2 linked regions of the Coturnix japonica genome follow. The protein of the gene in region 2 interacts with the protein of the main gene of each other region in a pairwise test. Links are inferred from orthologs where the notes say so. Each region holds a gene or a part of one and is shown on either strand. Other genes may lie near its edges.

Region 1 (12,485 bases), on a different chromosome or scaffold from region 2:
TACTATGCACATACAAATTCCTGCTAATTGCTGCAATTATTTTAGCACATCTTTGTGACCTGTCCACTTCCCTCATTTCTGTCTGGATTGCTTACTGCTGACAGTGAGCATGCAGTGTGCCCAGCTAACTCTGTGTTACTGCCAAAGAGACTGGCCTCTGCGTTTCTACTGCTAGAACATTCTCTTTGTACTGGAAGATCTTAAGTTACTGACGCTTCATTATGAGACAACTATTTATTTATTTACTATTTCATAAAGATCAAGATTTCGCTGATCTACTGTTAAAGTCTTATCATAAACTGCACTGGAAAAGAGATAAATGAAACTGAATTTCCTAAAATGATAGGAGACTTTGAGACTGAAGTCTACAGGAGACATTAACTTGAGGGAAATGTGAATATGTTTCTATACTATCTGTTTCAGTCCTGAGGTGTTTTAGAGCTTACAGAGGAAGTGCTGCAGCCCTTCTATGAGGCTCTGTTGGCTTCTTGGAAACTCTGAGTTAAGTTCAGCACAGCAGGATTTTGGGCAGGGAATGTGATGTTTCCACCTTTAGCTGCAGCAGTATCATCTTCTCATTTCTTATTTGAGAAGCTGAGTTTAACAGTTCCCATTTATTTGAAATGGAAGTACATGAGTCGGGTGAGTAGAATATAGGCATGCCTCACTGAACAGCTCCACTAGCATCTATAGCATAACTCCTTGTCAATCATGAATAAAGCGGGGTGCAAACTTCATCTGATGTATTCACTAGAGTGGGCATAGTGGTACTGAGATTATATCCTGTTAAATACTAAACTGATGTCATAACTTTGACAAGAATAACATAGCATAAGATTAGAAGTTAATTTTGAAACTATTAAAAAGTATTTTCATAAGAAATTTCTTAGAAAAATTACAGATTCTTGCAGGGTTAACCCTGGCCCTCCAAGCAATTAAATAAACCTAATGGCGTAACTTATCTTCAAAGAAGGAAATAAAATCTCTTTAGTTCTACAATTTTTTTTTTAATTAAAAATATCAGGAAAAGGTAAATGGCAGTTCTAGATCAAATAGCTCAAAAAAGTAACTTGCTGATGTAGATTTCATCCCACTGTTTATTTATTACAAAGATATTTGAGGACAGTGGGAAACAGAAACCTTAGTTTACAGCTGTATTTCTCTTCTGCTTTCCAAACATCTCAAATTATATTGATTCAACCGCCTTTGTTTATATTTTTTTTCTCTCTATTGCTTAAAATACACCAAAGATCAAATTCTTATTGGGGATCCAATGGAAAAGCCACTTTGTCACACACATTTTCCCTGTTCGCACTGGAGAGTTTTAGATTTCAGTACTTTTCTCAGTATTAGACACCCTTACCTTCTGCAATGGAGATGGTGTTTCTATCCATATATTGTGTTAAAAATTCTAAAATGGATTCAAATTCTTCTTATATTTTCTAACATATAATCTGGATTGCGTTGCATCTGACAGAAAGATAAAATATTTGTCTTCTCTGAATCTGAGGTAGTGTATAATAAACTCTAACAAAAGGAAAACCTATGTTGAATAGTTGGCTCTTTCCTCATTGTCATCAAGTGAACATGGAGTTATGAGTCATGTTCATCACGTTAAGAATGCAATACACAAGGCTTTAATAATACTATAATCTCAAAGACAAACGCTTTTGTTTGGGATTTGAGACTTGTTTAGAGCAAATTCAATCGCTATCTGTAATATTATGGATATACAAACATCCCGTGTGTTTCAGTCTGGAAACTTCTAGTTCCTGTGCAAGTAATCCGTTTCAGAATTCTCAGCCCTCACTCAGTACCCCCACAAACTGGCCTTTGTAACAATTTGAGTTTTAATCTCTGAATCCTACACTAACCTTGGAGGGAATAGCTGGAACAGAACTGTATCATGCAGATAACAAAACACTGGAATAGTGCTGCATTTTAAAATCTGAAACCCACAGTTGGCCATTAGTAGAGGTGCAAAGTTTCACAGTTATCTCCTTTGAATGCATCTGTGACATATTGCAGCTGCACTTATCACCAAGTGGAGAGAGACACACACTCTGGGAGAACCACTCATGCTATCCTATGGTTAGGCCTACACATACGCCAATCTTCCTCTAAAGAGTGCTCAGCTATCTGAAGGGCAGGAGCTCTGTTCTCCATGCTGTCACACCAGAGACAGCCCTCAGTGCCTTACCCTTCCTACCTCAGCAAATGCAATGGGGACAGCACCCACTTTCCTTCCAGTAGGCTCCCAGGCCTGGATGTGTGAGGTGCGGACTAGTCAGTTTTCTGAGCACTGTGCTCAGCACAACAGTGAGTGACCACATCTGTGAAGGATTAAGTAAATAAAATTGCAAATTGTTTTTATTATTATTACTTTATAAGAAAGTTGTAGAAATCATAAATTGCTTTAAGCATGGCTCAGAATGGCTGAGCAGCACTGTGCTCACTAATGCCTACATCATGGTGTTGTGGTATTTGTCAAGATCTGACTAAAAATTCCAACCCAGCCTTACAGCGAGCAAAGCTGCCCGTAACTGCATTGGCTTTAAGAAAGAAGGCAGGAACAGGGCTGTTTAAAACTTGATACAAAAGTTCCACATTGCTACATCTGTAGCCAAGCTCTGGATTTTTTATTTCATTTTATATTTTTCCAGAGAAAAGGGTGCTTACACAACAGCAGCAGATAGATGCCATTTGTTAGAAACAAAACAGTAATTATGTTCAGGATGGTACAGCAGTACCCTAGTACAACACTACAGGAAAGAACTGCAATCAGATGTGACTACATGTTGGATCTTCACTAGTCCAGAAGGAGTAGAGTTTGCTGGGTTGGGTGCCTGGTCCATTTCTACCCTGAGCAAGGAGTGAGGAAGTGCTGAAAAGCACACGCCAGCCTCTCCAAGGGCTGCAGGAAAGCAGCCTTCTATGTTTCCTCCTAATTCAACAAACTCTGCAGAGTTGGCCACAGATACTTTGAAAAACTTTGAACTGCAAAGAGTTGGAAGGCTGTAATTTCAGCCACAATTTGGAAAACACAAATATTGCATTGGAAAACAGGAAGAGCAAAGACTGTGCAAGACGTGAAAGAGAACTTCAGGCAACTTTATGTGAGGCCTAGATCAATGGGGGAGGGAATGATAAACAGGAGAAAAAAAACCAAAACCACAAACCAATAATATTTCTATTCTGCTGGTTCCATCTCAATGCACATAAACAAGCTGTGGAATAGAAGAATGGACTGGAATCTGCTGTACGAAATAGATATAACTTTGAGGGAAATAGCTGTATAATAATCAAAATCTCTCTCAGAGAGTTCCCAGGTGCACAGAGGATACTTCTCCCTTGCTAAATTCCTATTCTGCTTTCTGTTTGACAGACAACTCCAGAAGCTGATGCCTCAAGGAATGGGACCACGCTGCACATTGTTGGCATCCCAAAGTGACGCATGAGGGCAGCCATATGAGGAAGAAACTCCTTCCTTTCCGCTCCCTGCTGAAGGAATTAGAACAGGAAGGAAACTCTGGTGGTTTTACTAGATTGTGCTTCCTCCTGCACGGAGCTGCCAACAACTTTGACTGTGGACCTCAGCTTTCACACCACAAGGTCAGTAAAGCCTCATTTTCAACCCTTTCTGAATACGGAGTCAGTTGCTTTCCCCACCTCTCTAGAAACCTAACAGAGCATTTAGTGTCCACTTGCTATTATTTATTTAATAAAAATTTAATGTTTCAATTCAATTTTAAAGGATCTGGATCAGGTCTCTCTCTCTCTTGCCTGGATTGTTGCCCTGCTGCTGCCTGCCCCATTTATCTGTTGTGGACAAAGCTGCAGATGCTCAGTGTTGCACTCCAAGGGAACATGCGCTGCTTCTTACAAGCAAGTGTTATTTTTAAAATGTGCTATGGGAAGTATTTGAATGCAGCCAACACTGAGGCCTTTTAGAGAGCTGCTTACAGAGCAGATTCCTCATTCTCTGTCTAATCATTTCTATTTCATGGTTGACTGATTTGTCCCTATTTTCCATGCTATTGTGTCTCATAGTCAAGTGGCAAGAAATGCATAAAACTCTGGTTACAAAGCAGAAGGTTCTGAATCTAGAAAAAGGCAATGGCCCTACACAAAACTGAGTTACATCTGGGGCATGCTTCAGGCCTTAAAAAAAAAAAAAGAATGATTTCTTCTGTCTTCCAGTACGCCAAGACGCCTGTTACTCAGGTACATTTTTTACACTTTCTAGATAACATAATGGAAGAGGTCATAGACTAGTGGCTGAGGCAGGAACTGAATCTTTGCCTTCTCCTCAGTGAGAGTCTGCCCCCTAGGAACTGGATCTAAACTTTGCAGCTACTTCTAAGCTGAACCTGAAAGAAGTGTTCAAACTCAAAGTGTAGCAAAATTCCTTTCTGTATTGGTAGGGTTGGGTCTACCTACAAAATGCTTACAACAAATCAAAGTGATTCTTATTCATCCTTGTGAGAAGATGGGAAAATGTTGCTTTGAAATGTCCGCTTTGAAAAAAAAAAAAAAAAAAACAGAACAAAAAATGCCGCTGCTTTTAGGATGCAAAATGGATACTGTGTGGTTAACATTTATTCTGGCACATCACTGTGTCTTGATATGCTTCTGTGCACTACCAGGAACTCATGGATACAAGACATGGTACCGCTATTCTGGCTGCTTGCTGGTTCTTGATGAACACATTTGATGGTCCACAGTTATCTTGGAGGGACATACTGAAAAGCTTGATTTTTCCATTCCTAAGTTCTTATTCTTTAAAAGTCTTTTGGATTATTGAATCTACCGAGCTAACTTTCTTAATCATTGTTCCTAAAAGAGGCAGAGAAAGCAGGACAGGCTCTGCATGCCACTTCTTTTTTGTCCATTAGGAGTTTTTTCCACCAGCAGCCTGCATCTTGTCCCAGCAGGATCTTTATCCCCAGGCTAAGTCTGGACACTCAAATTCCGGCCTGCCTAGGGGCTGTGACTCATCCTTGGAAGGTTTGGTTGCTTTGGGGACTCCTTCTGTTGATGTACGCAATGAGCCACTAGGAAGCCTTGTTCTCCAGCTCCTACATTCCTGCTACCCAGCTGCTGGGTAGCAGATAAAAGGATTGTTCCCTCCTTCCTAACAGCAAGCACTTTAATGGAAGTTCTGTACCACTAGGAAGTGGTACAGTTGATTATTTTCCCCCTAAGCAAATGGAAACTTCATCCCTTTTCTTTCTAGATCTTGGACAATGGCCCTCTTAACAAAATAGACAGCCCAAATTCCAATTCTTGATCCAGCAACGTGGCCAGTCATACTCAGCACCTCTAAGCTCCTTAGAAGTCAGTGGGATTTGAGGTTACTCAAGACCTTTCTGCATTGTCCGCACATGGCACAAATCATACCCCTGACATACATTTAGGAACTGCTTTCCAATCATTTTACCCCCCCCAGAAACAATATAACATTCATCTTTTTTTAAGGCCAGGTCTTCCTGCTCTACAGCCCCATTGCTCAGGGAGCCCATGCCTGGCACTAAGCACTCCAGTGCCTTTCTCACTCACTGCAGCTGACTGGGCAGCCCTTGGCTTTGCTGGATCCTGGTAAGCTCAGGTGGCAGTGTCCCTGTTTTCACACAAACAGCATAAAATTCTCCCGCTAAAAGAAAACTCAGCCTCGTGATTTTTCTGACCAAAGCGAGTACAAGCAAAAGTGTCCGTCACTCCACATGTGTCAAAACTGTCCAAGTGAGTTAAACACCAGAAGAAAGACTCTAGAAAGGGACCCCGTCCGGTTTTGCCTGGCTTCCTTTACTCACTTCCCGACAGAGGGAAAAACTGCACGGAAACGAACACAAACCAAACCAAGCAAACGAACCCAAACCACCTCTGCAGCCGCTTGGCCGAGGGCGACCCATCCCGCTGCTCAGCCCGGCTGGAGCCGCCCGCACGAGGTCCGCAGCCTTGGGCACACGGCTCGGGGCAGCCGGGCTCAGAGCCTCCCCTCTCTTTTCAACGCCGAAAAGAAATCGTGAGCTGCTCCCTCCCTCCCGCAGCAGGTGGAGGAAAGCGGTCGTCCCGTCCCGGCCCGGCCACTCACCTTCACCACGTCGTCGTTGAGATGCTTGGGGTCTCGGTTGACCAGGTCGATCTCCTTGGTGTGCACGTCGTGCACCGCCTTCTCGCTCAGCTCGTCTGCCATCATCTTGTTATTGGGCTTGTAGATGTTGCCCTGTTCCCTGACGGGCGCCGCGTACAGAAAGCCCTGCGGGAGGGAGAGCGGCCGGGGGGCAGAGCCGGCGGGGAGGGATGGAGGGAGGGAAGGAGGGAAGGAGGCAGGGCGGGCTGGGGGCGGCCCCGGTCCCGCGGGGAGCGCGGTGCGAAGCGGCGGTCGGCAGCCCGGGCTATTTAACGGTGCGGCGGGGCTCTCACCACACCCCGCGCCCGACGCTACGTTCGCTCCCACGGCCGCCGCCAGGCGTCCCCGCCGCGCCCCCCACGCGCCACCCGGGTCGGGCACGGAGCGCTGCCACCCGCCCGACAAACAGCCCGCCCCGGGAGGCTGCTCTGCCCCGGCGCCGGAGCCGGAGCCGGTGCAGAGGGAAACCCCCGCGCTGCGCCCCGCGTGTCCCGCCTTCGGTTTGTGACCCTCACCGCGTGGCCTCGCCCTGCAGCCCCGGGGCAGCCCCCAATCCCCTGCCCGCCGTTCATCCCGTCCTGTCACGTCTCGTCCCATCCCGTCCCGTCCCGTTTTCCGCAACCCCGCTCCCCGTCCTGTCCCGTCCCGTCCCGTCCCGCCGCGCCGCGGAGCGCCGGCAGCAGCCCGAGTGCATCCCCCGGTTCGTCCTACCTCCGAGTCCACGTATTTGGTGCCAGACATGCTGTCCCGGCGCTGCCGCAGGTTGCTCTGCGCTCTAACTCTGAGCAGCGGAGGCAGGAGGATCCCGTTCGGCGGAGCGGCCGGCCAGGGGAAGGGAGGCGGCTGGCGGCCGGCCAGGAGCTGCTCCCCGCCTCGGGCCGGGGCTGATGACAAGCGGCGGAACGGCCCGGCATCGCGCAGCGCGCCCGGGAGCGGCCCGCGGTGGGAGGGGAAAGAGACCCGGCCTCGGAGACCTGCGGGAGAGCGGGCGGCCCCGGCTGCATGGGAAGCTGCGGCGACGGTGACAGCGACAGCAGCCGCAGCCACAACAACCGGGGCCACCCTGCCCTGCTCGAGCCGTCCCCTGGCAGCGGGTCCTCGCCGCTGGGATGCGGGGGGCGGCGGTGGCCGCGTGTGGCAGAGCCCCTGGGGATGGGGGGACGTGAAGGGGTGAGGAGATGGAAAACGAGCAGTGCTGCGTTGGTAGAGCCCCCCCCTCCTCTGACAATGGTCCACGCACTGTCCCGGGAGCGATCGTGGAAACTTGGACATCTTTGGGTTGAAGAAAAAGAGATTTTCTAAACTGGTTCACTTCAAAACTATGCAAATATTTGACAGTCCCGCACGCTAAATGTGCTGTATTTTTCCTGGGAGGACGCTGACCCATGTCTGCCATGCACGTTAACAGCTGGGACTTCACTCTGAGAGGTGCAGTGGGATGCCGGTGTTTGCGCTCTGTTCTCTGCCCCCTCCCAGCTCAGGCTGCCCACAGCCCCATCCAGCCTGGCCTTGAGAACCTCAGCGATGGGGCACCCACGGCTTCTCTGGGCAGCTGTAGCAGCGCCTCACTGCCCTCTGAGTAAAGAATTTCCTTCTAACATCTAACCTAAATCTTCCCTCTTGTAGTTTACAGCTATTCCCCTTGTCCTATCACTATCAGCCCAAGTAAAATTTCATCCCCTTTCTGCTTATAAGCTCCCCTCAAGTACTGAAAGGAAGATCTTGACCCGTTTATTCAGTATTACTGCATGTCTCAAGGATGACTAAAAATAGGAAATTTATTGGTTAATTTGAAACAGTAATGACTCCTGGAATGGTTTCTGCAGAACTTCAGCACCATTTGGAAGACGTTTCTGAATCATAGAACACTGCTACAGTTTAAAGAGATACTGGGAGCAGGAGGAATTGATAGGCTTCACGAGATGAATCCCAGCAGAGGAGCGAAGGAGCTCTGCAAAGAGCTGTGATGCTGTACAGAGGAGCAGGATAGCTCATGTGGAAAGGGCATGGCAAAGGCTTGCAGGAACCTTCTGAAAGCACAGAGCCTGTGCTCCATTCTTACCTGCTGTGAATGGATTATTCAGGAGTGGCCTAAAATTGCCACAGATCTCAGACACCCAACCAAACTTCTTCTCACTGAGCTCTGCTGCACTGTTGGCAGCCCAGGGCAGCTGCTGAGCAGAGTTATGTGGTAACTAGCTGGCCACCTCGCTGCCCTTCTTCTTTTTCCATCACACCAACTCTACTTATTTCAAGTCTAATTTTAAAAGCATTTTATTCTCCAAAGCTTTGCTTTAACTCAACTTGCAGACCTTGGAATTGCCTTAATTGAGAACTGACTGTAAATATAGAGCCACATGTGTGCGAGGTGGGAGCAGTTCTTCTGATTTTGAGAAGAAAAGCCTTAGTACTGGCAGGAAACGTATCTTCCAAAAAGCAAAAATTGGATTGGAAAAAATTCCTCAAAAAATACTGTCAGAAAATGAGTCACAAGGCTGAACTAAATGTGTATGGCTGCTCACTGTGTGTCTTTGTCTGGTATCAAACACTGCCTCTCACTCCACTCCTCCCCCTAAAGTTGTGTAATTATTCCAATTATGGTCTCTGCGATGTTCCTGATACTTGCATGACAATGCCAGAGATTGGAATCAGATCAGCTGAGAGTCTGTATTCTTTATGTACAGCTGCAGCAGCAGTGAGGCTGTCAGATAACAGCCTGCCCATGAGCAGCCTTCCTTATGCAGCATGCTTCAAAACCTAAGGCTTAGGAGGGGAAAATCACTGTGGTTTTAGTGTCTTCTGTTCAGCTGCTGAAGTACATCCTTTTATGTGCATTTTTGGATGGAGATGGTTTGCTGGCTGAAGGCCTGAGCTGCCAGAGCTGTTGGTAGCGAGCTTTTATCAGCTCTGAATACAGCGCTTACCCTGCTGCTTGATAACAGGCACCGCAATGGGCTTAAAGCACAGAACAGTGCTTTCCTCGCTCCACGTCTTACAGACTTTCATTCTCAGAAGACTCACAACAGTTATTCTGTCCCCACTCTGGAGGCTATCCATGGTTTAAATTACAGCTCACTGAATCAGAGCTATTTCACTGATGTGGGTGCCCTTGCCTCAGTCCCATATCAGAATATAGGACTGTCTCTCTTGAATGCTTTTTTGTTACTTGGACCATTCCTTGTGTCAGAGGAGACATTTGCTCAGGAGAGATGGTGAGCTGCCCTCACATTCCTTTCTTCTCATAACCTCTAGCTATGAGCGATTCCCTTTTAAATGGAGATGCTGCTGCCACAGCACATTTCACAACAGCCTGAGGGCCAGAAGTGTAATCTGACAACTGAGAGACCCGAGATCAGTTTTTGCTATCTGAGATGTGTTAATGCATTTGGACTCCTGGGAAAGCACATTTTGGGAAGTACCCCGCTCTGCCGACATGCAGTCAGTCTATTTTCAGGTGACCAGGGCATTCTCTTCCTTTACTTTCGGATTCTGATTGGGCTTGGATGTGAGTGAGATGCCAAGTTGCTCAAACAAGGGCAGTTCTAGGCATGAACTGTAGGTACTGAGGGAAGGTTACATGAAAGGGAGGTGCCTTCTGAGTTTAAACATGTTTCTAGCTGGGTGGCATCTGGGCAGGGATTACAGTTTTTGGATTAAAAGCCTATCAATTCTGTGTTAGGCATATATATATTTTATTATAGCTAGTCCCCATAGGTCTCAATCAAGGTAGCTTGTAACCACTTGGTTGGTGCAGAAAACAGATTGAAAGCCTTAATTCTGTCAGCTGAAGGTTAAGTTTTCCAGACCTTGAGCAGTTTGGGTCACTCTTTTCTCAACCCTTTTCAATATCAGGTTCTTGGTCAGTACTGAGCTGGGCCATGAATGCTGCTTGGTGTCGACACTACTCTGTGCCATTCAGCCAGTTCTAACAAGTTATTAACTGTATTGTGCAGAAAGAGCAATCTGAGAACTACTCCCTCTCATAGGAGTCAAGCACCCCCTCCCTGAGGCTTATATAAGATATGATTTTTTGTCACTGAGATCATAGAATTACAGAATCATAAAACGGTTTGGGTTGGAAGGGACCTTAAAAACCATTTCATTCCTACCCTGTGCCATGGGCAGGTTGCCACCCCCCAGCTCAGGCTGCCCACAGCCCCATCCAGCCTGGCCTTGAGAACCTCAACGATGGGGCACCCACAGCTTCTCTGGGCAGCTGTGCCAGCACCTCACCACCCTCTGATTAAAGAATTTCCTCCTAACATCTAAACTAGGAGACTATGAGAGATGTAGGTGGAGGAGAGCCTGTTCTGCTGCTTAGATACTTAGATTGCTTCCATAGGCCTGCACAATTTTTAGAGGAAACAATTTTTTATTTTTTTTTAATGCAGCAGAGGAAGGGACCCAGGCCAAGACAAACATTTTGCATTAATCACTGCAGAAAACTCTTCTCAGGAGGATGATTCAGAGCCGGAACCTATCCTAGCTCTTCTGGATTGCCTCTACAGAAGACATTTTCTTTTTGTTGAAATAAGCTTTGGAAGATCAGTGTCACTTGGTTAAAAATAGCCTTAATAATTCACCCCTCAGCTGTAAATCCCTGCATGAAGAAAGCACCTCAGTTTTTAATGCATAACTGGTGGCTGTGTGTGCTCACTGCAGGTCTTCATGAACACAGTGTACTAACAGACAACGCCAGCAGAATCCAGAATTTCATTGTGTTCCATATTCATTTGCTTGAAGAAAAAAAAACAACATGTTGTTATCCCTGTATTTTTAAAAGGGAGTTAATACAGCTTAACAGCCTTAGTTTTATCTCTGCAGGTGGGGAAAAGATCACACCCTGTAAAAATAAAGGGCTTAGACCATTCTTTGGCTTCCATTAAATGTGAATGTGTGGTCTGAGGTCCCAGAGCTGCAGGGATGTTCTGAACTTTTCAGTCAGTGTACATCAGGGTGAGCTTTCTGGGCAGGTGGAGAAGGGCATGTATTTACTAAGATCTCAAAGTTTCTGTTAAGAATTGGTGCCAGTTTTTGTGGTGAACAAGTAGGGTGTGGAAAGGTAGGATACAAATATCCAAATTCTACAGTCAGATGAGAAGGATCTTAGGAAAATGTTCTTGCTATGAGGCAGGTTGGATTTCCCTGTGAGTTAAAGGAGAAAAGCCCATGAAGATAAATGGGATTATTTCTGTTTGTTACTTGTGAGCTCCATAAAAAGCATCCTATCAAAAACATTTTGCATGACAGAACTGAATTTCCAGTTCTTGTTTGTAAGGTCTACAGTAACAAAAAACAGGATCGAATTGGAATTTAAATGGATCCTAAATCTATAAACACAGCTTAGAGCCAGCACCCATTGAGTTCCTGTTGTCCATGGATGTTATCAGTTATGGCAGGCCTTTGTCATATGCCACAACTTTCACATCCTGAAATCCCTGATTGCTGGAATCCAGTGCTGTCTGGGGCAGATGCACTGAAACAGAACCAGTTAATGACAAAGAGAAAGGCTCAAATCAAAAGAACTAAGGAAATCTCTCCTTTATTCTCTGTGGTAGCTAGAGTTGGATGGCTTCAGTAAGCTACTGAGTGTGTATGTCCAGTAGTATCTAACCTAAATGGCCACACTTTTCCTTAATCTCAAGGTTGGATGCACACCTGAGGTCTCTCATATCTCAGCCTTGTGTAGGGCTCCTTTTAGACCAGTGGACTGATTCAAGGCACATTGTTGGTTAATTAATCCATTATATGGATTTGTGTGTGTGTGTAAAATATCTGTAAACATCCTTAGATTTTGTAAAAGGAAAAAAAATAAAAATCTCAAAAGAAGACAAGCCTGGCCTTATCAATCTTTATTTTCAGCAGAAATACTTCAGTTTTAACAGAAGAAAGGTGAGGATGCATCTGAAGCATAGGCCAACTTCTGCAAGAAGACCAAACTCCATAGAGGTCTCGGTGTGTACTAATCATCAGGGTCCAGTTTTCAAAAGCTATATGAATCCCCCTCTAACCGTAACAAACAGAAAAGAAGTTCTTACAGTACAAAGATGTTCTTCATGTGCAAAAAATACGAAGTGTTAGCCAGCTTCTGTAGGCCAATGAGTAAGGAAATTCTGCAGCTCATTTGTAAATAAAGCACGCACTCTTAAAAGGAATTAAGCTTTATGCTGGATACAGCCAAAATTCTGCACCAAAAGACCTGCATCAGAGACACATTCTGTCTGGGCGTAATTCGACACAAAGAGATGCATAATTTTCCTCTATAAGTTAAATACAGTGGATATTAGCAGAGCAGTAGTGATGCTTATCCACCTCTTTCCCCTCCCTCCCACCCTGGAAGTATTCCACACTA
Region 2 (12,591 bases):
CTGAGCAGCTCGAGAGACCGCGTGCACCGCATCTTCCTTGAGCTCTGGACCCAGGGGAAATCCAGGACTGGAAAACAGCTCCTGTTGAGCCAAGTCCTTAAGGGATAAACAAAGAGGACGGGTCTGTCTGCCTCCCTCTGATCCCCAAAAATATGTTGGAATGGCTGAGATTTTTCATACGGAATTGAAGTGAGGGATATAATTGATGACATACAATAAAGCTTTGGGGGAAATAGATTTTATCACATTAACCTGATGAGCTCTTCTTACTGAGCTGATAGAGGGATGTGCTGTCGTAATACGCTCCTGCAAATGAGCTGCACAGCACCTTGGTTATGAGAATGGAGCAACATATGCACAGAGATAGGATAAATGAGGCATGAGGGTGGGAATGCAAGTGTGAAGACTCACATCCCCCATCTGCAGCACAGGGAATCCCATCTCATGGACTGCAACCTGCACAGCATCCCCAGCTACAATGCAGCGCTCTCAGCTCCTTTCTTGCTACCACGGGGGCAGAGAACAAAACGCATCTTTCTGCAGACACAAAAATGCTTTGCAATGCACGCATTCGTCTTTTCCACGCTTCACTGCAGCCTTTGGGTGCTCATGAGAGCAAAACCCAGAGCAAAGGCACTGCTGCAGGAGCCCCGCTGCACCCCAGCGCTGAGCCACCACTGATCAAACCGTGACACAACCCAAAAGGATTTTCCATATCTGCTATGCAAGAGGCGAGCAAACAGCTGGTGCTGGTCAGCATCAACACAACGCCAAGTGCACTTTGCTGCCTGGAGAGCAGGAGCAGAGATAACCAGTGGCTGATGCAGTCATGCACATCCGCACCAAGTCTTCCCACACAGTACGTGTAAGGATGCTAAAAATGAAGTGCAACAAATGTGGAAGAGCAACAGACGTGACGGAGCTTCTCCGTGCTCAGAAAAGCATCTGAATTACGAGTAGTGAGGAAATGAATCACTGCAGAACCAACACTGAGCTGGGGGTCTTCATGTACAAAGATGGTTCCCTCTGTGCAGAGGTGAAGAGCAGCTGTAGGGAAGTATCTGAGCAGAGTGACAAGCTGAACGAGATAGGAGACAGGTTTTAATTTACTGGAGCATGTCTTGCTTCATAAGAAGGAGAAAACTGATGGTGCCCTGCAGGGACATCCGTGCGTGAAGGTTTCCCTGTCCTCCTGCAGAGCATCCTCAGCACTCCGCCAGTAATGAGACATGGATGGGTCCCTGCAATGTGTGCATATCAAAAGCAGCACCTTGTTCGCAGAGGGAAGGCAAACAGGGGCTCGTGGTGGATTTTCTCAGAGCATTTTTGGTTGTTTTGATGGCTCCAGCTGGAAGGGCAGCATGGGACCCCGCTCCCATCCTTCTTCCGCACAGAGGACGGTTCTCATGAGCAAAAAATGTGGCTTGCTCTCTGCTGCTGACAAACAGCAGGAGCACAGCAGCCCTGACGCCTTCCAGCACAGAGCAGCAAACACGCGTCCCGTCAGGAGGGATGAATATCGCATTGACGGAGGCAACATTACTCATTTTCCTGCTTGGGAAGCCAAGTATGGGAGAAAAAGCTCTGGGTTGTGCCTGGGGCTCTGTCCTATGAGCTGCAGAGCCCTCACTGGGGCAGCTCCACTGGGCTCCCCCCAGGAGCAAACATGCCCCGTGCAATGCAATGGCATCGCAGCTCCATGCCGTACCCTAAGAAAACCCTACATCAGAGCTCACCAAAATGCTGTTAAGCCCCATCCCCACTACCAGGGGAGTGATTCCCAGCACCAGGGGACACCCAAATGTCCCCAGAACCACAGCACCCAAATGTCCCCAGCTGCACTTTGCTGCCCAAAGAAGAAGACCCAGAGCAGAGCAGGGTGCAGAGAAGAACACCAGCTCCATGGCAGTGAAAGAATGCACAGGATTTGCTCTCCCATGGCATCCCATGATGTCCTCAAAACACCTCTTCCTCTACATCCACTGCCCACACACATGCCTTGGCACAAGGATGCCATTGCTGAGCTTTCCTTCCCCTACACAAAATGCATGAGACCGAAAGGTAGAACGCTGCCAGGTGCAATCCTACCTCATTCATTTGCACCACAGGTTTGCAGCCTGTTAAAGCATTTAAATATGGAGAAAGGCACTGCCTCACGTCGGGCTGGGATGTGCTTGCACGTAGATATGCATATTTTAAAAGCTTGGCAGGAAGAGGGCTCCAAACTACACAATTAAACAGATTTCATGCAGAATGCCCTCCGCACACACAAACCACCATCAGAACCCCATGCTCTGCTGTGCCGGGACACCCCTTAGTGATGGGTGAGGGCTCCTTCCCTTCTGCTGAGGAAGCTGCTGCTCTGCCCTTCATCCCCACTAAACTGTTCCTAAATTGGGGATGAAAAACAAGCAGCAGCTTCCTTTGTCCCTTTGTCAAGGGATGGAACAGAAACAATTGCCTAAAGAAATCTGACCCTGCAGGAGGAAAGGGACACCCCAGCCCTGCTCCGTGACCCCAGAGCAGGACAGATCCCATCTACCTGAAGGGCATGTGCTGTGCTGGGGAGCAATGGAGCTTTTTGGAGGAATCCAGGCCAAAAGAGTGTAAATAAACAGGAGAAAAAAAGTGAGAAAAGCATCAAGCAGAAAGGGCAGGTTGGGGGGGGGTTCCTGTGTCAAAGGTGATGCACCCATGGGGAGACAGAGACCATAGGGCACCCTAAAAGCCACCAGCAGCCCAGGGTGACACCTGCTTTGAGACAAGCTTACAGCCCGGTGTGCTCTGCTGCGCCCAGAGCAACAGCACCAACACCACGGTTTGATGCGCACTGCAAGGCAGCAGAGGAACACACAACGGATGGAAGCTGCAAGGCAGCAAAGGAACACACATGGAAGGAAGCTGTAAGGCAGCACAGGGCGCTCCATCCCTGCAGGCTGCCACGGAGCTGTCTGGCAGCACTTTGCATCTCCTGGCAGGATGCGCCCGGCGGAGCTGTCAGACCACGGAGCAAACGGCACCCAGCGAAACTGACAGCACCGAGGGAAGGAGCAGACAGAAATGGGGCAGAGCACAGCAGGGATATCCCCGTTTTTCTGCTCCCTCTCCCATTTCTGTGCGTGCCTTCAGCTCTTTGACGTTTTTCAGCGGTGCCATTCAGTGCTGAAAAACTACGGCGGATGATTCGGCTTCTTTAGCACCTCTGTGATAAAGAGCTTTTTGCTGTCAGCAAAATGTGTTTGAAGCTATTCTGCCCCCACCGAATGAGGAGGGGAAGCAGCCAGGAAAGCAAACTAACGAGCGGTGTGGTTTCTTGCTTATTTAAGTGGCACAGAAACTAAGAAGCCTGCGCTGCTGTTTCCAGGCACACGTGTGGTTTCCATCCGTGCAGCTGCCACAGCAAAAATATCACAATAAAACTCAGCGAGGAGGGGGTTGAGCTCCCACTGCCCTGAGCTCCAACCCTTCTTTTAGGATGGGGCATGCAGAAAAGCTTTGATAGCCATCAGAAGGGAAAGCTCGCAGCCGGCTGTGACAGCTCAGCCTGCTGGCGAAGGTGCCTTGGGGTTCCCTGCTGCCCCGTGCTCTGGGATGCTGTCAGGGTGAGGGGCTGTCAGCTCTGTGTGGTTGCAGATCATCGCCCTCACCATGGTTGGGGTAGATTCTCTGCTGGGGAAACTGCTGCAGCTCCAATAAAGCCGTCAGATGCCATTAGTGAAGAAGCTGCTCGGATGTTTCCTGTTGGTTTGGAGTGTTTTATTCACTGGTTGGGGTGCTGGGGCTGAAGGGCAGCGTGATGTGACACAAACTGTCCCAATCCTTTTAAAGCCTGAGGGAATTCCCAGCAAAATTCCCAATTCCAGCATGGTCAAAAACCTCCCTTCCATCCCCTCAGGAAACACACAACTCAGCCAGGTTGGGCTCCAGGTGTCCTTTGTCTTTGCTGGCATTCCTGTGCACTCCTCACCTGACAGATCATTTTGTTCTTACCCCAAAGCCAACTGGGACACAACACAGCCCCACCAGCCCCACTGTGGACCAACCCAAAGCACCAAAACACTGACACAACTCTCATTTTTTGCACAGTTTTGGACAGATCCCTGCACAGAACAGCACAGCTTTACCCCAGCACTGCTCACCCAGAGCTCAGTGTGCAGCAAAGTGAGAAGCACAAAGAATCAGAGGATGCTGCCTTCCCATGACACCCAAAGTGCACAAAAAACACACCAAGGGGAGCTGGAAAACGACACCATGCAGAAGGAAACACGAGGTTTGTTCCAAAAAGCAATGATGCAAAAGAAAACCTCTCCCCCCCTTGCAAAGCTCACCTGATCCCATCAGATGTCCTGCAGCCCCCGGTGTGCACAGAAGGATGAAGGAGGCACATTTTCCCTGGCGACTTTGGGCTTACATTGCATTCTTGCTCTTTCTAGCTCTGCATTTGTCCCCATGGTTTCCAAAGGCTGCTGAGCTTTCATGGCTGAGCTTTCATTTCTGCCCTTGGAGGACACTTTGGGGTTTTGCTCCAGGTGAGGTGAAGGCGGTCCTTTCTCCACTCATATTTGCAGGCTCCCAAATCTCACCGCCAAGGTGTGAACTCCTTTGAGAGGGAGAGGGGGATGTGGGGAGTGCTTATTGCCTACGGGTGGGTGTTTGGCTGCGGGGATGGGCTGCAGGATGGGGCACGGATGGGGGTGCAGGATGGGATCCCCGTGCGGTACAGAGCCATGGGGTGGTGGGGCTGGAACCATCTGGAAGGGCTTTGGAGGGAAGGGTGAGGGCCGAGGGGGGGATGGGAGAAGGGATGCCATGACAACCTTTTGGGGTTTCCCAGGAAACCAGGGTGGCCATAGCAACTGCATCACTCCGGTCCGAATTAGTGACTTCCGCTGGAAGGCGTGCTCACCACTTTAATCTCCTTGCCATAAGCAGCTGCATCTCTCCCAGACGCGGTGGAAAAGGTGGAAACATCCCTTTGTCTGCAGCTCGGCAGCTCGGAATCACAGCCCTCATGCAGCCACCCCATCCCGCTCTGCCCAACACAGCACACGGACCCACAGACCCTGCGCTGGGTGAAATCATGCCCAGGGCTGCAAGGGAAGGGTGGAAAATAAGAGGGTTGGGTTTTAGTTTGAACCGATTGCATTCGGCTTCTGATCAGACAAGAATGATCTATAGGGGGAGAAAAGGGGATCTGCGGTGCGTCCCTAAGGGAACACCACCTCCCAGCACTGAGCGCTGTGTAACAACGTGGTAACGGGGACTGTGCGAAATGAAAGGGTTGTTTCCTCCCAGCCCCCTTCCAGAGCTCGGCAACATGTTTTCCTCATCTCCCCACCCAATCCGGGGCCGTTAATCCAACAAGTGAGCTTATGAGATGGAAGGGAAATGGGCTCCGCACCGCCTGCAGGGAAGGGGGGAGCAAACCAGGAGCAAAGCGAGACGTCCCCAAAAGCCAGGAAACAAAGGCAGCCCCGCAACACGTTGCAGAACAGACACCTGCTCCAGCGGTGCCATTTGTCTTCGTTCTCCTCCTCCGTCCCCATCGACCGTCCTCTTTTCTTTGGAGAAGATTAAATCCCTTTCGGATCTTTAGAAAGGAAACAAAAAAACCCCAAAAGATCTACAAAAATAAACGTATAAAAAACAAGGGCGCAGACAGACGGACGATGGTGCATGTTCCACACAACACCAAGTACACACGGTCACTTTTGCATCATTGTTATTATTATTATTCTTTTTTAACCACGTCCTCAGCTTTCGCCGCCGCTCTGTGTTTATTAAACATCCGTAAAGATCTTTTTGATGTTCACACAGTTGGGATTGTTTGTGGTTGTGCAGTTGCCTGTCTTAAAGGCAGCCTGTTTGAATGCACTGTGGTTGATTCCCCCCTCCTCTATCACCATGTACTCAGATTTGCTGAGGGTGGAATTGCTGCGTGCCTTCCTCATCTCTTCAGTAGACGAAAGGTGCTGGCAGCTCCCGACATGCATGTACTGGGCTTGCTCCTCACCTTCTGTCTCCCGGTGGTAGAAATAGTTGAAATTGGAGACTATGACAGGCACGGGCAGGGCGATGGTCAGCACCCCCGCGATGGCACACAAGGAGCCCACGATCTTGCCCCCAATTGTCATGGGGTACATGTCCCCATAGCCCACAGTGGTCATGGTCACCACAGCCCACCAGAAAGCATCAGGGATGCTGGTGAAATGAGACTCAGGGTCATCAGCCTCAGCAAAGTAGACAGCACTGGAGAAGAGGATCACCCCAATGAAGAGGAAGAAGATGAGGAGACCTAGCTCCCTCATGCTTGCTTTGAGTGTCTGACCCAGGATCTGCAGCCCCTTGGAGTGCCGGGACAGCTTGAAGATCCGGAAGACCCGCACCAAGCGGATGACTCGGAGGATGGCCAAGGACATGGCTTGCTGGCCATTGCCTTGCCTCTCAGCCATCTCAGTGCCCAGGGTGATGAAGTAGGGGATGATGGCCACAATGTCAATGATGTTCATGATGTTCTTGGAGAAGGTGGCCTTGCTGGGGCAGGCAAAGAAACGCACCAGCAGCTCAAAGGAGAACCAGATGATGCACAGTGTCTCCACCACAAAGAAAGGGTCTGTGAAGGACGACACCATGGAAACGGCCGAGGACGAGGAATTGGTGAAGACATCAGGTGGGAGAGGGCCACCACCCGTCCCAAAGGTCCCCCCGGTTCCCTCATAGTCGTGGTCATCTCTGAACTCAGGCAGAGTCTCCAGGCAGAAGATGACGATGGAGATCAAGATGACTAAGACGGAGACAATGGCGATGGCCCGGGCTGAGCTGGAACTCTCAGGGTACTCAAAGATGAGCCAGACCTGGCGCTGAAACTCGTTGTGGGGAAGGGGCTTGTCCTCTTCTCTGATGAAACCCTCATCCTCCCGGAAGCGCTCCATGGCCTCCTTCCCCAGCTGGTAGAAACGGATCTCTTCGGAGAAGATATCAATGGGGACATTGACGGGTCGTCGGATGCGCCCTCCCGACTGGTAGTAATAGAGGATGGCGTCGAAGCTGGGCCGGTTCCGGTCGAAAAAATACTCGTTGCGCAGGGGGTCGAAGTACCGCATCCTTTTGCGGGGGTCCCCCAGCAGCGTCTCGGGGAACTGCGCCAACGTTTTGAGCTGAGTCTCGAAGCGCAGCCCCGAGATGTTGATCACCACCCGCTCGCAGCACTCGTGCTCTCCGCTGACCTCCGTGGTGTGCCCTGCGGGACCGGCGGCGGGCGGCGCGGGGTGCTCGTAGCGTTCCCCCCCCAGCAATGGGTGCGGATGCTGCGGTTCCTCCGGCAAAGGGTCCCCGGAGCCCCCCACCACCGTCATGCTGCCTTCCTCCGCCTCCTCGCCCTCTTCCTCCTCGTGGCCGGGGAGCGGCTGCGGGGCGCCGGGGGGCGGCTGCTCGGTGTAGCCCAGGTTGTGGTGGCTGCTGCTGGGGGGCCGGCCGGCGGAGGAGGCGGCAGGAGAGTGCAGCAAGCTCCGGCGCTCGTCCATAAAGGTGTGGGGAGGAAGGGGGAAAGGGTGAGAGGAGCGGCGAGGCGGCGGTCGGAGCCTCTTCTTCCTCCTCTTCCTCCTCCTCGGGGCGGAGAGGGAGAAGCAGCCGCCCCGCTCCCGGCTGCCGCGGCTCTGAGCGGCGCCGGGCTGCGCTCAAAAAGTCCGCCCCCAGCGCTGGCACCGCCTCGCCCCGCCGCTACCCGAACCCACCCCCCCCGGCTCCGCCCGGCTCGGGGACCCCCGGAGCCCCCGGAGCGGCTCGAGCTGTGCCCGGGGTGCGGGGTGACTGCGGGCGGGGAACAGCCGGCGGCTGCTGGGGCTGAGAGCGGCGGGGGGAGTCCTGCAAGGCAGGGCGTGTGTGTGTGTGTATGTGTGTGTGTGTCTATGTATGTGCACATACACGTGTGTTTGCACGCCTATGTGCATGCATGTGTGCATATGTGGATGCTTGTGTGCATGCATGTGCATTCATGTGTGTATGTTCATGTGTGTGCACATAAGCCAGTGTGCATGAGTGTGCATGAGTGCACGTGTTCATGTGTGTGTCTTGAGTGTGCGTGTGCAACCCCACAGCAAAATCAATGGAGAAGAGAAGCTGGCTCAGCCCTCAGTACAGGCAGTCGCAGTCTTTCCTGCAAGGAAGCTGGAAGGCTTTTCTCAATCAGTCTTTTCAGACAAATAGTTCACTTTTGGTCAAACAGGACTTTGTTTTTCCTGCAGAAAGCCTTCCCTGCAGGATCCCAATGCTGGCAATCACTCCATCCCCACAAGACTTGCACAGAGGGGTAACCCAAGGGCAACCCTCCCCTCAATAGGTCCCAAACCCTATTGGTCACTCTCCAGGAGCACTCCTATCCTCAGCCATGAGCCATGAGGCTCTGGGAACTCAGGGGGTTCCTGGCTGGGGAAGGAGCCTGACCACATTGACCACATGGGTCAGGGATGTGTTAAGGGCATCCCAATCCCATCCCACCCCGACAGCCCCACTGCAGAGGAGGTGAAATCCTCACCATCAGCCCCGCTGCAGCTCCTTGCTGCTGTTATTTTTAACCAGCACAGCCTCCAGAAGGTAGGGAGAGGGGGAAAAAAAAAGCAGATGAAAAGATCAAACTTATTTATACTTGAAATTAGAAACAAGCTGTACAAAATATACAAACCTATGGGGGAAAACAGCAATAAATATTGCTGTAGGAGCCGAGCCCAAACTGTAAATGGGAACAGATCTGAGCTAGCCCAGCTTCCCTTCCTCATTTTGCTGATAGAGCTGGTAGGGGGCAAAATAACCCCAAACCTTCTGCCCCCAAAAGTGGTGGAGGTGCCCAGAAGGAGGGACCCACCATAGAGAACTGCTCTATGCTGCGGCTGAGGCCACTACACTTGTTGCTGCAGCAGCAACAGGGGACACCCATCTCCAGGCCGTGGCACCTTGCCCTGCATGGATTTATGTTCTTATGGTCACCTCCATCCTTAGCTTCACGTCCTGCTCGTGGCTGCACATCACCCATGATGAGGGAGTCGGGCAACAGGAGTCCAGCTTCTCCCTCTCATCATTTCTACTGTAACTAACAGCAGAAGAACCCAACACTCAGCACCTCCCACCTATCCCAACCTGGACAGAGTGAGAACCAAACATCATTCACACTTGGTTGCTCAAAGGCTGCAAAACACTCCTGGAAATGACAGTTCACATCCAAAATCTGAGCTCTGCTCTCTATGGGTTTCATGATCATACAACAGAGCATCATCTGCTCCCTCCATACATGTGTGTAGCACTTACTTAAGGACTTGTCTGGCTCATCTCTTTCCTCTGCTAGGATTTCTGCCAGTAAATCACTGTCATCTGGTCGAAGGCAAACAAACAAGGCTGCTTCGTACTATAAACATTTATTGATGACAAAAGGCTCGAGGCAACAAGGCGTAACTTCCATAACTGCAACAGTTTACTCCAGCTCTCAGTCGGGGGGGGGGGAAACTCACTGGAAATCAGTGCCAGCTCTGCAGAGAGCTGCGTACCTTTGGGATGCAGAGAGGAAAATCCCTTCCCTTGCAACCAGGATCGAGTTGTCCCCATCAGCTCAGTGCAGCAGCAGGAATTAACCCCTCAGCTACCGGCTGCTTTAGATCAGCCTGGAGATCTGCGGCTCCAGCCCAGCTGCCCCAGGCACCGCGTGGCCTCCTGGCCCTGTTTTCCCCTCCGCTGCTTCCACCTAATCCCATCAAATCTAATTAAGCTCTGCCAGGCCAGCAGCTCGCTGCAGGCAGGGCTGCTGCGGGGCCATTGCCGCTGGCCCCAGCTGGTCAAGCAAGGCAATGTTGTGCCCCAAACCAAGAGGCACAAGCACGGTCACAGGGTGAGACTGAGCACGGTTACAGCAATGCTGATAGGAGTCCATGAGAAGGGACACCCCTGCGGTGCCCTCAACACCTTCCTGCAAAGCACAGCACTAAATGTGCTCCTCCAGGCTGTGGCTTTTCTGTTTAATGCAGGATGGCCACCACCTCCTCCTCCTGCGAGATCCTCTCTGCTTCTCCGTCCAATTCTAATCTTGAATCTGGACTTGACAAATTCAATTTGATTCCTAACAGCCATTCAGGAAACTCCCCTGTGCAATGATCTACAGGCTGACCTGCAGCATCAGCTGCAGCTCCTGCAAAGCAGCTGAGCCAGCACAGCTCCTTTCTTCCTTTCGTGGCCTTCTTGGGGCAGAGGGGGCACAGCTTCACCTCACCCACAACCATAGAGGAACCCTTACAGACCCCTCCCATGTATGGAACCATTATTCCAACCCCCCACTGCTCCCAGCCTTTGGTCCCCTGCCTTGAAGCCTTGCCCATCTCAAGCATCCTCTTGTGCCTGCCACAAGAGCTGTGCATCCTGCAGCCGTGCTGCCAGCACGTGTTGGAGCCCTGCCCTCCCTCATGTCTGAATGGGAACCCTGCCTCCATTGATAAATCTGGGACAAATCTGCTACTCTTTATTCCTGAGGATCAGAAACCTTTCAGCGCTAACGCTGTTACAATAATACCTTAATGCACCATAAATGTATTGTCTCTCCTCTCACAGCAGGGAACACACAAAGCTCCAGCTGCTTCATGGGGACACGATTAACTCACTCGTGTGGCTCCTCCTGTCGTTCCAGAGCCATGAGCTCACCTTGCCCTACCTTTGCTGTTCACATCCATAGGAACCCTATTTCCCTGCCAACATTAGAGGCTGACAGTGCCATTCGGGTCACTCCCCACTGCTGAAGCTTGTAAATAAGGCTTCAGCATCAACCCAACTTCTCATGATTAACTCAGAGTCACACACAGCTACAGCAAACAAATGGGCACCAACGCTCTGCTCCTCTTCCTGCAGCCACGTTTAGCCACTTGCTCACCCCGTAACCTTCAGCTGGTTCTTCCCTATCAGCTTAACCCTGATTTAATTACAGTTATTGGCTCTGCAATTAGGGATGAAGCGGCACAGGGCTGCCTCTGGGCCAGGAATGACCACCCTGCAGCCTTTGGGCTCATAGCAGAGATGCACAACAGCTCTGAGATGCACCCACAGCCGTCTGGCTGCGTAGGAGCAGAGCCTCAAGTCTCTCCGTGCCTCAGTTTCTCCTCTGTACATTAGGAGAACGCTTCTCGCCTCCCACCTGCAGTCTATTTAAATCCCTCGCCAGCCTTTCGCCCAGCTCGCGGTTGCAAAAAAAAAATGAGAGAGAAACTGAAACTCGAGATGGGAAATAAAACTCAGAGCTTTCTGACTGCTGCAGTTTGGTTCACTGTTGGCACATGGGCAAAGCTCACTGCTGTGGGGATGGTAAACCCCGAACAGGGTGCTGAGCACAAATGCAACAGGCAGCAGGAACATGGGGGTATCTCTGTTGCAATAGAGTGAACAGAGGCAGAGTGGCTTCAGAGAGGGGTCATTGCTCTCAGTGGGTGGGGTAAGTGAAAATGAAATCCCTTGACCCCAACTCTGCCATCAAAGAATGGGGCAGAGATCCCCCAGATTCCTCTGCATTGCTTGCTGACTTCACACAGTGGCTCCATTGGCTGTGATGGAGCTGAAGGAGCTCAATCCCATCCAGTCCTTTGGGGACCAAGGGGTTACAATTCAGGCTAGAGTCAGGCCTATTTTAATATCCTAAAAATGTGATTAAAGGGCGGGATTATGTTGGCCAAACAATGTTAATGCAAATTCCCCCTTTAATGGGGATCACATTCCAAGGCCTTCACAATGACAGCAAAATGATATCCAGCGGCTTCTTACGCAGCTCCTGTTGCATGCCATTATTTGGTCATTAGGTGATAAGATTACATCCACAAAGCAACTTAACCACAAATCCATGGAGACAGCGCGGCAGCGGCGCTGCCTTTTCATTACGGATGGGCAGATGTCCATGGGATGCAGGGTGGGCGCTGGAGGGATGCGGGGTGAGCATCATTGCCCAGCTGGATGAGAGCTCAGGAGCCCCCGTTTGGGGCAGCAGAAGTCACTCCTTGTGCTTCACTGAATAATTTATTCCAGGAATGTCACTTCTGCTTGGCTTTGGTGGCACTCGTCCCCATCCGAGTTGGCACATGGCGGCATTTCAGCCTACTTATGCCAAGCAAAGCCAACAGCTGCAATAATTCTTCTAGCAGCCCCTCTGACAGCCAAGCCCAACCACTGCCCTCCATCCAAACACAGCTGGAGCGATGTGCCCTAAAATACAGCATCGCTCTCTTCACAACAAGATTTCAAGTGGATTTTTTCAAGGGGAAACTCAGGATATTTGGGTGAATCGGTGCCCAGCCCCGCTCAGCTGCACAAACAGATCTGTTCTTAAATAGCTCCATTTGGTTTGCACTAAAATACTGGAGAATCTACAAGCCAGTGCTGCACTACAAAGCGCCCTTGTAAAGGCTCGAGTGTTTATTTTCAGAACGTGTGCTCTTCACCTTTCTGCCATTGCTCAGCCAGTTGTGCTCAGGAAAACAAATTGTGTCATGGAAATTGCCTGGTTTTCCCTGGTATGGGTGTTGGGGAGCTGGGATGAGAGGGATGGGAGGGATGGGAGAGATGGGAAGGGTAGGA

What was found.
Region 1: the proteins of potassium voltage-gated channel subfamily A member 3-like (region 2) and CAV1 come close enough for resonance energy transfer, tested with the Homo sapiens proteins (2 studies listed by BioGRID). The link is inferred for Coturnix japonica from reciprocal best matches to the Homo sapiens genes KCNA3 and CAV1.

Annotation. Positions count from the first base shown.
Region 1 is NC_029516.1:22,496,324-22,508,808, forward strand, and holds the start of CAV1 (caveolin-1), read right to left. Parts: upstream 7,025-12,485; 5' UTR 6,875-7,024; coding exon 6,845-6,874; intron 6,260-6,844; coding exon 6,095-6,259; intron 1-6,094. UniProt on the Homo sapiens protein: May act as a scaffolding protein within caveolar membranes. Forms a stable heterooligomeric complex with CAV2 that targets to lipid rafts and drives caveolae formation. Mediates the recruitment of CAVIN proteins (CAVIN1/2/3/4) to the caveolae.
Region 2 is NC_029541.1:1,846,723-1,859,313, forward strand, and holds the start of potassium voltage-gated channel subfamily A member 3-like, read right to left. Parts: upstream 7,695-12,591; 5' UTR 7,524-7,694; coding exon 5,781-7,523; 3' UTR 4,329-5,780; intron 1-4,328.